2 linked regions of the Solanum lycopersicum genome follow. The protein of the gene in region 1 binds, or shares a complex with, the protein of each later gene. Links are inferred from orthologs where the notes say so. Each region holds a gene or a part of one and is shown in the gene's direction. Other genes may lie near its edges.

The links. The genes of interacting proteins can lie anywhere in the genome.
Region 2: the proteins of glutaredoxin (region 1) and protein BOLA2 are in contact, whole or in part, in an NMR structure (PDB 2MMA), measured with the Arabidopsis thaliana proteins. The link is inferred for Solanum lycopersicum from reciprocal best matches to the Arabidopsis thaliana genes CXIP1 and AT5G09830. Residues at the interface, in NP_191050.1 of Arabidopsis thaliana: Lys130, Ser133, Asn134, Trp135, Pro136, Thr137, Glu146, Phe147, Phe148, Asp152, Ile153, Glu156, Ala157, Thr160, Glu162, Glu165, Glu166; in NP_568217.1 of Arabidopsis thaliana: Arg46, Leu47, Leu48, Arg50, His51, Arg52, Asn55, Met62, Ile65, His66, Ala67, Leu68, Ser69, Ile70, Lys71, Gln74, Gln78.

The regions. Positions count from the first base shown.
Region 1 is NC_090801.1:62,097,848-62,102,190, forward strand, and holds the start of glutaredoxin, read left to right. Parts: upstream 1-1,421; 5' UTR 1,422-1,531; coding exon 1,532-1,736; intron 1,737-2,822; coding exon 2,823-3,092; intron 3,093-4,343. Other genes in the region: uncharacterized protein, read left to right, coding at 86-166, 248-341, 662-843. UniProt on the Arabidopsis thaliana protein: May only reduce GSH-thiol disulfides, but not protein disulfides. Probably involved in the regulation of the redox state of the BOLA proteins. May act as Fe-S cluster donors to Fe-S cluster-requiring proteins.
Region 2 is NC_090810.1:868,425-872,712, reverse strand, and holds the start of protein BOLA2, read left to right. Parts: upstream 1-1,385; 5' UTR 1,386-1,784; coding exon 1,785-1,844; intron 1,845-4,288. Other genes in the region: sm-like protein LSM3A, read left to right, coding at 782-862. UniProt on the Arabidopsis thaliana protein: May act either alone or in interaction with glutaredoxin as a redox-regulated transcriptional regulator, or as a factor regulating Fe-S cluster biogenesis. The GRXS17-BOLA2 heterodimer binds a labile, oxygen sensitive iron-sulfur cluster.

The DNA.
Region 1 (4,343 bases):
TGGACTGGTTTAACTATATGTGGACTATAAGATGTGATATCTTTAGCAAGGGACGTATGCTCAAAACTTATTTTGTGCTGTGTAGGTGAATCCTGATATGGTGCAGCAATTTGAAGATGCTGGCCTTTCTTTCACTGGCAAAGATGAAACTGGTCGTCGCATGGAGGTGAACCTTTGTCTGATTGTATTACGAATTCATGCTAGATACTCGTAGTATTATTGATTTAATTTTCTATTTCTTGTACAGATTGTTGAGCTGCCTAATCATCCGTACTTTATTGGCGTTCAATTTCATCCTGAATTTAAATCAAGGCCAGGAAAACCGTCTGCCGTGTTCTTAGGTATTCCTCCCTGCTTTATCCTTCCGCTCATAGCCAGCTAGAATACCTGATGCTTACTTTGGAACTTTGGAAGTATCATTTCAACATTTGTATTTGCATTTCAATATGTGGCTCGCTTCTAGTTGATCCAGAAAAGTCAATGTATACAATCTTAGATTATTTGATTTGTAGACATAAAACTAACGATTGGTACTTTGAAGGAATTAAGTGAATGAAGGTCTTTTTAACCGTGACGTCCAGCTCCTAATGGTTATGAGTAGTCTCTTGTTTTGAATGTAATGCTCTTCGTTATGATGTGTTATTCCTATTTCTCTGAACAGGGCTTATAGCAGCAGCATGCGGGCAGCTTGATTGTCTCCTGAAGAAGGGTGGAACACCGACTCATGGACTTAGCAATGGTACAGCATCTGGCGAAAAATTGCATCGAAATGGAAATGGAACGACTCTTGCCAATGGATCTTTAGATGGGATTTATCGCAATGGGAATGGTGTACATGTCTAAGGAAACAGTAAAAACACTATTGGGGTCAATGGCCTTGTGATCGATCAAATTTTGCTAGTGCCTTTCTTCCAGTCGATATGTATAGGTTTTACAGCTTCTCTCGTTAAGGCTATCTAGTTATAGAGCTAAATTCCGGTCTTTGTTACGGAGTTGTAGCGGCAGCAAGTTTAATTTAGGCATTTACTTTGAACGATTAAAAAACTCTTTTGATTACCTGCTCCAACATGAAACTTGTGTTTGGTAGTAAAAGATTGGATTGCTCCTAATTCGATCTTTATGAAGTTCTTGAGATGGCATCTCTATCCACTTTAAGTTTTTGTTGATGTTCTCTTTATACCTACCTAAAATTATTTCGCTAAAAGGCTAGGGGAGAAGCCAACTATTTTGTTTGATTTTCCATATAACAATTGCCTTCTAGCAAAAATAGACTTTTAAACAACACTAGTACAAATTTATAAGGAATTATCTTGGGAGTAACGACAAAGAGTATAAAAAATTTAATACGGCAAAATTACAAATGAAGTTAAGTTATCGCATTTTTCTACTATTAAATTGATAATTTACTCTTTTTTTTTTTTGGGTGGGTCTTTGTAAAGTAAATCTACGGTTATGAGCGCTTGACTGTTTAATGGCATAGGGATAGATTAGCGCTGATTCGTGTGAAAGAAGACTTCACAGGAAAGTGAGGATGTCGCTCGGAATTTCGCTTCAATGGCAACTCCCCTCCGTTATCAGGAGTACTACAACCTCGGCAGCTCAACGTACGACCGATGTCTTTCTGTCGTTTCCTACGGTTCATTCCGGTCGTGCTCTTCAGAGCTCGGCCATTCCCAGTAGCTCAATTGCTACCGGCAAACGGGATGGACGGTTAAGATCCCTTCGTTGTCTATCTGGTAAAATTTAATTTCGCATCATCATATATTCCAACTTATAGGGTTTTCAATCGTTCTGTGCTTATTTCTTCCACTGCAATTATTTTAGTACTACTTTCTCTGATTGAAGGACGGAGAAATCTAAACTTTTTTATGGTGTTGGACGTAATTGCTTTCTGCTACGTTAATTAGTTGTATATTAATGCATTTTCTGTTAGTAGTAAGTTATACTATCAGTTTATTGTCATGTCTAAATTATGTTTCTTAAGCAGAATTCGGGGTTGTTTCATTTGACGAAAAAGTGAATCTTTAGATTCAAATTTAGCTGTCTATGATGTAATTCTTATCCTTATTGCAAATTGCAAACAGAGTAAATAGCTGAGTAAGTAAGTTACCCATTATTTTAAGCATCTATCATAGTAGGCCAAGATCCCAAGTAGAAATACTTGGCCAGTTAGACTTAAGTTCTTACCAGTCCTCTATGGGGAGCTTAGTCTCCTAGGTGGAGAGAAAGTTTAAAGTTTTGTGCAAGGTATGTTAGATATGAATAAGTTTGTTGATAGTCTATTTGGTGGTAGAAGCTCACTTAGAATGAAAGACCCTTAATTGCTAGCCGGAGCAATTAATGAGGCAAGACTTAGAGGGAAAAGATCGTATTTGAGGATATTGCAAGTCTATTATGTTGGCATTCTTTGTCGTTACTTAGAAAAGTTGTGATGGCAAGGATGGACTTGTTGAAATAGAAATCTTTGGTAAATTACATCCTATCAATCAGGCTTTTGAAGAATGGATGTTTGCTTGATGGTTTTAAGTAAAGGATACATATAACTGTACTATCTATCAATTTATGCCTACAAAAGAGTGTCAGAGAAATCTTCCCCCAACCTTATGGCTACTCCAGGTTGTGTGCATCTATGTTCTTGTGATGTTATGTTATACAGGGCGTCCTTTTGCTCATTTTGTGTTTATTTATCATTGCATATTTATATATTTCTCTTATTATGCTTGGAATGTACAACTTATGTTTTCATTTAAGAATAGCCGAGGTAGTAAGTCACTCATCTAAGAATTGCTGACATGTGTTTTATTCACTTTCATGTCTTGTAGCTCTGGATCCTAACTTGAAGTCTACGCTGGATAAGGTTGTCACATCACAAAAAATCGTGTTGTTCATGAAGGGGACCAAGGAATTTCCTCAATGCGGATTCTCAAATACAGTGGTTCAGATATTAAAAGCACTAAATGCACCCTTCGAGACACTAAATATCCTTGAAAATGAAGCACTTCGTCAAGGATTGAAGGAGTATTCCAGTTGGCCAACCTTTCCACAACTCTACATTGATGGAGAGTTCTTTGGTGGCTGTGACATTGTTGTAGGTAGGTATACAAATTGATACTTCAATATGCATCAGAACTTTTGAATTATTTGCACCCCTCGACTCTTTATGTGTACCTGCTACCTCCCACCAACACAGTTACAAGTAACTTTGCCCATCAAAGTTGAGGTAGATGGGAAGAGATCATCTAGTGTCTTTTGTGTTTGCCTGGATTCTAATCTTGGTCCCTAAGAACAGTTTTTTGTGTTTTTAGGTTATGTTACCAAACTGGAAGGTGTAGTACATGGTTTATACTTCCTTAGTTGTTTACTATGTTGATGAACTACTGTCAAGTTGAAGTTTTGTTCTTAATATGGTGAATCATCATAACTCTTGAAATTGGGGATTGAGCACTTTGTTGCTGAGAAGAACTGGTATAACTACCATAAATAACTTGGACAGAATGTAGAATTCTCTGTACTCAGTAGTCAATTCAACCTCCTACACCACATAGTTCACCTTGTCGATCATATCTTCTCTTCCCCAAACACGCAACTGCTAAGCTGATCCTTTTTTCCATTCGTTCACATCCTTTGAAGTCTTTAACTGGTTTTTTTAATACCAAGAAATCTGTCTGGATCCTGCCCTTTGGACCAACTGCGGCCTTTGAAAAATGGGGATAGTGGGCCAACCTTAAAATGGCTTCTCTTTTCAATTTTTTTTTAAAAATGTGATGGGTAAGAAAATCTTTGCTACCTCTTGAGTCTTGCATCTAGATTGCTAACCCTATTGTACTTTTATCAAATTGCTCTCTTATTGCCAAGTTCCTCAATGTAAGGTCCCTAATTAGTAATATCTATAAGTTGACTCTATATGAGAACACAACAAAGGGATTGTATCCCAAATGTTCCCTAACTGCCTTTCTAATTAGGAAGGTTTTCCATATGGATGGGCATTCAAGAATTGTCTAGATATGACCTGATTCATTGCAGACATCCAAAGAAAACATATTCTAGATATCTTTGGCTGCCTCATAGTGTAGAAAAAGCTGTTTACTGATTTTGCTCATGGAATGCACATGTAGTTGCCGCTGCTCCACATATTCGCCCTTTTGTTGTTTGATAATCTTGAGTTATTACAAGTTCCATACTATTGTCCACCCAAAGAAGGCTACTTTTATGGCAGATTTTGTCTTCCGGATGAACTTCCACGGAGGTTCAACATTTACCGTCCTGCCTCAATAGTGTACACCGATTAAATGGAAAAGGATTTCACTGGGAAAGACTACCTTTTCCTTCTGTCAAGATCAGTC
Region 2 (4,288 bases), on another chromosome or scaffold:
GACTTCACTTTAGAATTATCCCAACTTCTAAGTGAGCTTTTATCTATCAGCAGATAATGTTGTTGTTATTTTTTTTGACAAATATGTCTTTGTTTCTCTCGTATTTTGTTTCATTTCTCCCTCAATAGTGTTCAGTGGTGATGCTCAAAAAATATACCAAGGGACATCTGCTTTTCGCTTATGTGATACCCCCTTAGAAGATTAGGTGCTCCTTTTCCATCTGAAGTTTCGAGAAGTTTCTTCTCGTATTTTCACTTGTAGTGGAATCAGGGGTGTATCCTAAGAAGGAGGGGTGTCAATTCACGTGTGTTTCAATGTACAACTCCCAATCTTCCAAGGTCCATCTTGTGTTCCAATTTAAAGCATTGTTTTCTTTTTCTTACTTGGTTTTATTCTTTCAAAATTCCCAAGTTTTAACATATTGAAATCTCTATTTTCCTTGTATAGTTGTGAAATTTTATAATTAAGGCAAATGTCTATATTAAATCTAGTCATAGTGGAGGATGTCACATATATTCAATGGGTTTAACTAATCATAGATCTTTGTGAAGAATTACTAAAATTTAAAAACAAATCGAACATTGGTTCAACTTATCCCAAAACCTATCAAATTTAAACCCTGGATTCGCTATTGATCATAGTGGTTGATATCCTAGATTGGCCCCATGAGTAGAATGTATTTATTAGAATTGCTTTTTGCAAGAGTTGTTGTGTGTTGAGGAATGGTTTTCTAATGATTGTAAAAGCAGCTGACATTGGTTCTCTGTTGATTGTGTTTTAGGCGACGAGACGGACCATCCCGTTCCTATTTGTTCGTGGAGATGGTGTGATTCTGGTGTCTCCTCCACTCCGGACTACTTGATGAGGAGAGGCATCGTGGTGTATGAAAATCTGCAAGCACGCTATATTTTGTTTAAGGTGCTGCAGTAGACTATTGTAGGTGGTCTGTGATTTTGTCTAGTACATGTGTTTTGCAAAGCACAAGATTAGTAATGTTGAAATCCTATAGCATTGGATATTTGTGAACCGTGCTGCTTCTGTTTACTTAACTCTAGAATGAGACAAGAAGTGTCTGTTTGGATTGGCTTATGGCTGTCAAAAGCCATAATTTGTGATTTTTAACAAACACCATGAAAGTGCTTTAAAATACAATTTTTTTTATTCAAATATTATGAAAGTGAAAAATATAAGTTAATCCAAGTAGACTGGGTATTCTTATTCGAATTTTATAGGATTATATGCCATATTGTTGTCGTCAAATATTCCCTATTCCACTTATGTTGCCATTTTTCACCCATCGCCAATTCAACTTTTTCTTCTTGAAAAATTATTTGAACATGGAATTTGTATAATTTTCCATTTTAAATTTCTAAAAACTTCAAAACTGTTTTTACACAAAAAAATAGACTTCAATTTGTGTTCATAAATCTTAATTTTCAAGTATCAACTTAGAAATTATTCCAGAGAAAAAAAGTACTCCTTAGTTGCAAGCAATTTATGTGATACATTTTTTATTTCGAGATTCAAACAAATTTAATTTTTTATCATAGACATTATATATATATATATCAATTATTTTGACTTGTAGTGTTTTTTAAATCTAATTTAGAAATACATAATAATATAAAGATTTTATGAGCAAATATTGGGTCAACCCGTCTTGAAAAATAAAATGTAGAAATTGGGATTCGTATATAAAAATTGTAAAAACCTAGGAAGAGAAGAATTGTATTTGGGGCATTTTGGCAGCAAATAACAAAGAAAAAAAAGAGTATTCTCGAAAGATGAAGATGAAGGAGCAAGTAGAATCTTCACTAAGGGCAAAGCTTAACCCTTCTCATCTGGTAAATTCTCTCAAATATACACATATCTGTTGTTAACTTGATGAGTTTGTGTTCGTTTAATTTGTTCATAGCAAATCTAAACCAAATAGGTTTATCAGGATTTTAGATTTTGTTAAACCTTGTCAGTTGCAATTGTTAAAATTAACTGACAAAGGAAAATAAGTGATAAACATTGGGAAATCTCCCAAATGCTGAAATTTTGGTTGTTATGAATTAATAGGTCAAAAAACACATCTTTAAGTTTTACATTTTAATTTATTAAAAGCAAAATTCTAACTTCAAATCTGCCTTGATTGGATTGTTTCACTATGAAGATGATATTAGTTGGATTTGGCACTATGTAAAACAACTCTGAGTTAGCTACTCCTTAAGAACGAAGGCTGAAAATTTAAAGAAGTCAAGTAGGTGTCACCTACGTAAAAATGAAGGGCCAAAGATAAAAAAGTAGGTCCATCACCTACTTAAAGGCTTATGGCCCAAAGATACGGACCAAAAGGGGGCTGTCTTGGGTCCGCCCAAGGCCCATCTTTCAAGTCCATTAAGGACTATATAGATGTATAAATAACTCCATGGATTTATTTGCTTGAGCTATGTGCTTCACCGACTTGCTTTGACATCCTAGTTGGTTGATCTAGTTGGTTAGATGTCCTAGTTGCTTAATAAGAGCAACCCACGTGTTTAAGGAAAATTAATGACCTACTAGTCTAAGTATGTGACTAGTAGGTGTATCACCTCTTTAGAACAAAGGGCCAAAATTTAAAGAAGTCAAGTAGATGCATCACCTGCTTAACTCCCTGGTTTATTGGCTTAAGTAGGTGATGCAACTACTTGTCTTATTTACATCTGGAACTTCGTTCTTAAGTAGGCACCTACTAGTTACTTGCTTAGACTAGTAGTTTATTAAATTTCCTTAAGCATGTGAGTCGCCCTTGATTCAAGTAGCTCAAGTTACTAGGATGTCAAATAAGCAACTCAACCAAGTAGGACTTCCAACAAGTAGGTCGTCTAAGCAAATAGCTCACAAGTGGGCCATTTGCGCAAGAAGGTGAAAATGGTACATTCCATGGTACATGTGTTTGAAGTGAGGGAAAGGCGAGTGAGCTATAGTTCTTTTTTTTTCCAGTTTCTCTTTGTATGAGAGAATTTCCTGATGGGAAAAAAAGTGCAAATATACCCAATACGTGTATTTGTGTTATATCCTTCCTCTGTTCACCTTTCGGGTCAAAGGATCCCCCACAATTATCTTTCGTATGAAATGTGCCCCTCCACCTTGAAGAGTTGGTCAGCCACGTAGGGTATATTTGACCTTTTCAGTTGTTTAGGCTTTATAGACTTCTTCAATTGTAAGGGTATATTGGTCTACCTGGCTCTATCGTGAAAAAGATAGAGCCGTGCTGGACAGTCGTAAGAGGGAGGGAAAAATATGGGACGGAATTAGTGATTTGGGGCTTTCATGGACCGGAAAGGGAAGTAAACGCAGGCAAATGTTAGACAAACCTAATAGTCAGTGATAAAGTTGAACCTTTCCTTGATTTTGATCACTAGCCTTAAATTGCCAGTCTTGGAAATGAACAGTGTTAGAACATTTAACATCTAATGATTTTCTAAAAAAGAAGCTAAACTTGTTGAAGTGTTTTTTACAAAGGTGCTTTAATAAGTCCTTATCTCAAGAGCATATACCATCATAGCAAGATTTCAGGTACATCAATGGTTGGGGAAGGAACTTAGGTGATGTTTGGTTGGGAGTAGTGGAGAAAGTGATCTCCACTTATACTTAGTGTTAGTATAATGTTTGGTTTCATTCTTCCTTTCCACATAAAATTTAGGATATTTATAATACAATTTTTGTTTCCACTTCTCTTGTCGCATAACTGATATCCTCTTTAAGTTATGCGGGTATCGATATATTATTTTATGCAAGATAAGAATGCGGGGATAGTATAATATGGAGTAAAATTACGAGATGACAAAAATAACCCTTCACGTGTTATCCAATATTTATTTTGTCAAAAGAATTTAAAAAATATTTTTTAATATGCACTTTAGTATAACAAATCTAACATCCATTGAGTAAATAATCCTTCCACTACAGTTCTTGTATTATAACCTTAACCTTGCATTTCAATCCCTACATTACAATCTCTACATTGCCATCCATGCATTTCTAATTCCCCTGTAACTTGCTTCTAATCCAAACGACCCATTAAAGCATTGTGGTACCTGAGATAGTTGCTCTTTACCCGGAATACATATATGAGCTACCTATTATTTATGTCAATAAGAGATGCTATACTAAGATTTCAGGTACATTAAGGGATAGGTGGAAGAACCTCAAAGCATTGAGGGACCTTAGAGTTTTTCTTTTCCTGGAATACATATATGAACTACCTTTATTTCGTGTCAATAAGAGAGACGCCTGTCATGTAGGTTGTAAATCTTCTTTT